Linked DNA regions of Tribolium castaneum. The protein of the gene in region 2 interacts with the protein of the main gene of each other region in a pairwise test. Links are inferred from orthologs where the notes say so. Each region holds a gene or a part of one and is shown on either strand. Other genes may lie near its edges.

What was found.
Region 1: the proteins of hpo (region 2) and RpS20 interact in a two-hybrid assay, tested with the Drosophila melanogaster proteins (2 studies listed by BioGRID). The link is inferred for Tribolium castaneum from reciprocal best matches to the Drosophila melanogaster genes hpo and RpS20.

What each region holds. Positions count from the first base shown.
Region 1 is NC_087396.1:10,995,975-10,998,800, forward strand, and holds RpS20 (small ribosomal subunit protein uS10), read right to left. Parts: upstream 1,290-2,826; 5' UTR 1,135-1,289; coding exon 1,132-1,134; intron 1,064-1,131; coding exon 698-1,063; 3' UTR 654-697; downstream 1-653. Other genes in the region: protein DEK, read right to left, coding at 2,136-2,150, 2,203-2,355, 2,405-2,653, 2,710-2,826.
Region 2 is NC_087403.1:7,369,914-7,374,418, forward strand, and holds the start of hpo (serine/threonine-protein kinase 3), read right to left. Parts: upstream 2,964-4,505; 5' UTR 2,818-2,963; coding exon 2,804-2,817; intron 2,676-2,803; coding exon 2,155-2,675; intron 2,104-2,154; coding exon 1,816-2,103; intron 1,770-1,815; coding exon 1,636-1,769; intron 1,589-1,635; coding exon 1,423-1,588; intron 1-1,422. UniProt on the Drosophila melanogaster protein: Plays a key role in the Hippo/SWH (Sav/Wts/Hpo) signaling pathway, a signaling pathway that plays a pivotal role in organ size control and tumor suppression by restricting proliferation and promoting apoptosis.

The DNA.
Region 1 (2,826 bases), on a different chromosome or scaffold from region 2:
GCCTAAAGCGGGTCGAATTTACGCAAAATCTCTTCTTTGGGGTTGAAGGGCACTTACTTTATCAGCAACAGATGTTATCCATTAATTTTTTATAAAGAATTTTCTTATGGAAACGGCACACACATTCACAGCGAACTGGGATGGGCCACACCATAAACAACAAACGATCAACGATGCTGAATCGACTAAACTACTCTAACCTGCAAATGACACCTTGTTCCACATTTGTATTTACACAGTGTGTGTCACTTTTGTGATAACACTGTTTGGCTTAGAGATGAACTTGCACGTTGGGGTCATGAAATGATTCATATGGTGCGAAAAGTGATCTTATTGATTGATTATCGGTCGGTACTACTTTTCGCCTGGCCTTTAATCGGCGGAGGAATACAAAATGGCGGGCAAACATTTAAAACATTACGTCATTTTATATACATAGCAATGAGTGCCAGCGTCACGCCCCACAAATAATAAGATGCTCAACCTCATTATTATTATTGCAGTTGCTGCATTTTTCTATTCTGACTAATAGCGCCACAGTATTGGTGACACCGTGTTTGTGGTCACTGGTCGCAGGATGCTCTGAAGCGTAAACAAAATAGCATCGTTTTTTTTTCAAAATTTTTGGTGTCAATATAAATAAAAGACAAAGCTTCATTGCAGTTTTATTTAGTTCTTATAAAAAACGTTTTAACAATTAGGCATCTGCAATGGTTACTTCAACCTCCACGCCGGGCTCAATGTTGATTGAGGTGATCTGTTTGACGATTTCAGAGGGGGAGTGCAAATCGATGACCCTCTTGTGAATCCTCATCTGGAATCGGTCCCAGGTCTTGGAACCTTCACCACAGGGCGTTTTCCTGGTGGTGATCCGCAAGATCTTGGTTGGCATGCGGACTGGCCCCTTGACGCGCAATTTTTGCTTCTTGGCGGCGTCAATTAAGTCCGAACAGACTTTTTCAAGCGAACGGACGTTTCGGGATGTTAGGGTGATCCGGATGTGGTGGATTGGGGGCGCATCCTGGCCGGGTTTTTCGGGGTTAACCTCTTTGATAGCAGATGCCTTCAGAAAATGAAAGTGGCGTTATTTTTCCATATTACCGTTAGGATTACAGAAATAAGGTCGCTTACCATTTTTTGATAACTTTCTGGTCGAGATAATCAACTTATTTCCAAAAGTTGACCAGCGCTGAACCAGAATTTACCTGGTGCTCAGCCACGCGGTTTCAAAAGTGAACGAGGTTAGGGAATTTTCTCAACACGCGGATTTGGGAAGTTGGGGATACTGTTAATGTTGCGGGACATTTAAAAATTTCGGTAATAAAAAGCAAAGTTATAATAAAGATTGTATTTTGGAAATTAATACAATTCAGATTCTATTGTTAATTACTAAGAGCTACTAGCATAGACATTTTGATAAGACAACAAAGCTTGCTAAAGTTCTGGGAAAATAAAAACACTATTTGATTTACATGTTCCATCTGTAGAAGCATAACGAAGAAATGATAAAAGTACACTGCATTTAAGAAAATAGATTTTTACAATTATCTTTAGACTGCACTCAACGAAAGAAAATTGGTCATTTAAAATCTGCTCTTTACAAAAAATATATTTCTATTTTTGACTATTTTATACAACCGTACAATTTTGTAAAAAATTTTAAATGACCAACAAAACAGACTTTTTGGCTTTAGTTTTACAACATAAAATCGCACGCACGTAAATAATCAAATAAAATCTATTAAAATAATGAAAACAATAGATAATTAACAAATTTTATTTACTTCTCTCCAACAAAAAATGTTCATCTATAATAAAATCTAGCTTAAGATCTCAAAGATAATCATAATTATCAAACACATAAATACTATATTTTAATGCATGTGGAATATTATACAACAAATTGAAACAAATTCTGAGAGAAAAACTTGCATCTCTTACCTTCAGAACTCATTTGCAAAGACTATCCCGGATACGTTAAAACTAACTTACTTAATAATTAGTTTGCCAAAAATGTTATCTGATGAAATGCAAAGTGTAAAATATGAATAAAACGAAATACAAACTTTGTACTCGGACATACACATTGAAGGTTGGTTTTATACAAACTTTAATTCTATAACGCCTCAACAAGTTCACGTTGATATAAGCTGCAAAAATGAAATTGCATGAGAGGAGTCACAAAAGCGAAACAAAACTTACAGATTTTACAGTAGACTTTATGAAATCCTTTTTGTGTGCGAGATCAAAGTCAGGATAATGTGCATAAACTTGTTGACAAACCGTCTTCATTGTGATCTGTTCCAAATTGGCGCCTTCTAAAATTTCTTTCACGTAGGTTTTTATCTCATCATCCTGGAATTAAATTGTCATAAAGAATGTAAACAATTGACTTAAAACATACAGTTGGAGGTTGAGCGCTCTTTGCTGCTTTTTTCACTAAAGGTTCGTCTTCAGAAGAACTGCTTGCTTCCTTCTGCTCGCTCTCTTCCTCCTCTTCTTCGTCCTCTTCGGAACTGTCTTTGTTCTTTTTCTTTCCAGCTTTGGTTGTTTTCTTAGTAGGCGGCCTGCCCCGTTTTCCAGTTCCTTTTCCCTTATTTTTATTGTTAGCTTTTGCAGTCTTCCTCCGTTTAGATTTAGGCTCTTCCTGGAACTGGGATCAAACATTTTAATTTCACACTGAATACGTGTTTTAAAACGTATACTCACGTCGCTGTCTTCGTCTGAAGTAGCACTTTCCATATCGCTCTCTTCTTCGTCCTCAGAGTCGATCTTTTTGCGATCAACACGTTTACGTTTCTTAACTGTTGGCTTTTCATCGCTGCC
Region 2 (4,505 bases):
GTTTAGTTTTGTTTAGTGATGGGTGATATATAATACGCAAATAGCTAACAAATACGTTTCATGTTTAAAAATTACAGAAAAACTCTTACATTGGTTTAATGTTACAATTGCCAGTTGATAAAAAAAGAGACACTTTTTACAGTCAGACTCTGTTATTTGGTTATTTCGATCCGTTTATTTACGAAGTAGAAGAAGTAGAAGTAGAGTAGAAGTAGAAGTAGAAGAAGTAGCAATTTCTAAGAAATATTTTGACATTTTGTCGTTTATACCGATAAATGCTCATATTTTTTTACACAAAATTACAAAATACGATTGATTTAAAATAAAAAAATCAAGTTCTAATTATTTTGTGTTATTGAAGTTTTGTTATTGCATTATTAAAATACCACTTAGTCGTTTACAGTTTCACTAAAAAACAAAAAAAAACATGAGAAATGTTATAATAACTGATAATCTCCGTTTTTTCCTTGAATAGAGACAGCATTCAACAGTCAATTTTCCTCTAGACGGCAAATGTAAAATAAAAACTTTTGAAAAAAATATCCTGTAAACTTCATTTGCTGAACCAATAACCTTTTTTTTATTTTGTTATAAGTTACGATAAAGATTAGACAAAAATAAAATAACATATCTCAATTAGATTTTCTTCTGCTTATTTTGAAAAATGAAAAGGTGGAAGTCATTATTTCGTACGTTAATGCAGTGAAAACTTTGGTAGATCTACTTTATCTTACCTTTACTTATTTACTATTCTTAAGAACACTGTTACAGACTTACCAAGTTTTATTAATACCTTACCTTATTAGATAATAATTAAGCTGCTAATGTTTTCTGTTATTCAATTCCATATTTACGTTATAAAATTATTAAATAAGTCAGTTTTATTTCCAAAAATCGTAGGAAATTTGGCGGTGACTGTCACTATTAAAGCTCTTACAATTTAGTTTTATTTTGTGGTGGGCGAATTAGGAAAAGCAAAATGCTACCAAATATGTTTCATGTTTAAAGATTACAGAGAAACACTTGTATGTTTCCACAAATATTATTTTTGAAATTAAGTTTAATTTTCCGATTGCCGGTTAATCAATAAGAGGAACACTTTTTTCTTATTTGGTATAACCCCGATAGGTGGCGCTCTTTGCTACCTTTATCTCACCATCTTGGTATAACTTGGTCCAAAAAAATGGTCAGGCTGTTATTTCAATCCTTTGTAAAAAGTAGCAATTTTCAGGACATATTTTAACAGTTTACCTTTTATACCGATAAATTTAGACATTTTTTACATGAAATTACAAAATATGATTGATTTAGAGCCAAAAGCTACTTTTAATTGAGTCATTATTTAGTTTTTAAAATGCTCACACGCTCAATTTTTTTTATCAGATAAATTTAAGATCTTTGTGTGCAATTAATTGAACTTACGTTTCATGGTTTGTTCGTCAACGTCACTGTTGATAACCATGGTTCCAAGCTCTACTAAAGTACCACTCTGTGATACTGGCAGTAAAGTGCCACCTTTGCCGGGTACCAAGGTGCCTTCATCTGTACAAGGAAGAATAGTCTGATTGCCTAAAGCTACTTCATCATCCTGTTGAAGAATCGGTTAAAAGTTTCAATTTTTGTTGTCAAACTTACTGATTCTTCAGTGATGTTCTGCCTAACGCCTACAATGTTAGCAGCAGAGGATACATTCCTATAACTTTGGTTTTCTCTAATTTCGTGTGCTTCTTGAATCATTTGGCTTAGAATACTAGGGAGCTTAGCATTACCTAAAACAAGGTTAGAGTGACTTGAACTGCGGGAATGTGCTAATACCTATAAATACATGACTGAGTAAATCAGTGGCACTCGCCCTTTCCTCGGGATTTTTAACAAGACAAACGCTAACAAAGTCGATAAATTCGGGCGACCACTTGTCAGGCTCCCGGAACGAAGGGGGCGGCTTGGTTGGGATCATGAATATTGCTCTCATGGGGTGAATATCACCATAGGGTGGTTTACCCTCGGCCATCTCAAGGGCCGTAATTCCTAAACTCCAAATATCAGCAACACAGTCGTATCCTATTTCTTGTATAACTTCGGGAGCCATCCAAAAAGGGGTTCCTGTAACAAAACGTGAAAAAACGCGGCCATTGTGGCGCGATTATGTTCTACCAATCACAGTGTTTCTTTTCGCCATGGTGTCCGTCAGTTGCCCGGCAACGCCGAAATCAGCCAACTTCGCGTGGCCCTCTGAATTGAGTAAAATGTTACCGGCCTTAATATCCCGGTGGATTTTCCGACGCAAATGCAGGTATTCTAGGCCTTTGAGGGTGTCGGACAAAATCGTGGCGATCTCGTCCTCCGTGAGGGTCTTTTTGCGCAGCCTCATGATGTCGGAGACGGAGCCGGCCCCACAGTACTCCATGACAATCCACAGATCAGTGTTCTTGAAATAACTCCCGTAATACTTAACGACGTAGGGGCTGTCGCACTGTTGCATGATTGAGATTTCTTTGATGATTTCTTGAAGATCGGTATCCACAGGTACTTGTTTAATTGCTAATACTTGGCCAGATTCCTTGTGGAGTGCTTTGTAAACACTCCCGTAAGATCCCTCCCCCAGCTTGCATATTATATCGAAAACTTCCTCCGGCTGACGAGTCAAACTCTCCTCAGACAGTTTCTTCAATTCACTAAAACATTCAAAGGCTTAGAGGGCTAATTCGAGCTTTTCGATGACTTCAAAAATAAGAAAAATAGGTTAACTTTTAGACTGACAAGGCTCGTGCGGGCGAACTGTTGGACAATTTACGAAACTTACCTCTTGGAAGACATTTTATTTATTACAAATCACACGTAAGACCAAACACACTACACATCTTTAATTGGAACTTATCTAGAAATTATATGTTCTTGTAATCAAAATCTCCATGTTGAATACAGTCAAATGTTGCGAGTCTGCCGGGTCTAGTACGCAGGCGCGGATTACGAAGAGAATGTTCTTGGACGAGAATGAGAATTCTTCACTGTTTTTTTAATAAATAAATCTTGCAATATGGTAACAACTAATATCATATTTTTTCTAATTAGTACACGTTAGACGAGATGTTTACCTATCTTTTATATAAGTGGGAAGGTTCCTTCAGTATCCTCCGAGAAGTGTCTCCACCTATATCACCAAATCTAGTGACTTTCATCTGTTGATTTTTGGAAAATCGAGTATTTCCCCGAACGCAATTTTTTCATTTCAATACTTTTTGGCCGATATAAGCACGACATTTGTCCATTCAAGAGTTTTTATTGAAGTTTTGATTTTACTTCCTCTCAGTCTTCATTTTTCAAAATATTTTTATAGAGTATAATCGGATTCACAAATGTTTTAATAATAACAGAGAAACTCTGTATATTTTTATAAATATTATTTTAGAAAGTTATATTGTAGAAACGTATTAAATTAAAAAAAATGTTTTCCACATTTTCTTTGATATAACCTGGTTAAAAAGTTTAACAGATAATATTTTAAGGTTTTGCACTTTATATCGATAGATTTATTGGTTTCTCATCACAAAATATATGACTAATTTTGCAATTATTATTTTGATTTAAACAACTTACAAAATTTTGTTTCTGAAAAACGATACATTTTATTAATTGAGTTAATTAAGCTAGATTCATAATTCATCAGTTTTTATAATATTTTACACCGAAATTGCTCATCAAACACGTGCGGATTTTTTTCATTGATAGGTAAATTTTGCAAAGTAATGGCACATTTTCCAAGAAAACAAGTTTATTTAGTTCAACTTATACACAGAATTTAGCCGTTTATAATTTCAGAAAAAAAAACGAGAAATAATGTAATAATAACAACAGATAATCACTGTTTTTTTCCTTGAATAGAGACAGAGTAGTAGTTTAAAGCAGTAGTTAACAGTTGATGACAAATGTAAAATACAAATTTAAAAAAAAACTTGTTTTCCCCTGTAATTTTTATTTGCTGCAGCAATAACCTTTGTAGGGATTTTTTTTAAATTTCGCTATAAGTTGCGATAAAGATTAGACAAAAATAAAACAACTCAATAAGATTTTCTTCTGTTTATCTTGAGAGATGAAAATGTGGAAATCTTATTATTTAGCAAGTTTTGCAACGAAAACTTTGCTAATTCTTTTACATTACCTTCACCTATTTACTATTTTTGAAAATACTATTACGAAATTATCCATTTTTTTTGTTAATATTTAAATAATATGATTAATGTAAGCTGATTATGCCAAATCAAGTCAACTTGATTTAAATAATCGAGTATTTCCCCGAATATTTAACAGTCGAAACAATAGTAGTTTTTTAGTATCTATACAAGATGGCTTCAGCGTTACTGAAAAAAAAAATAACTGATTGTACACATCCTAAGTACAGCAATTTTGAGTAATTGTGTGTGATATCCGCTTCGTCAAAAATGCATTTCCGCAATTATTGCGCTTTATGTTCGATATCTACATAGCGTATTAATGTTGGATTTGAT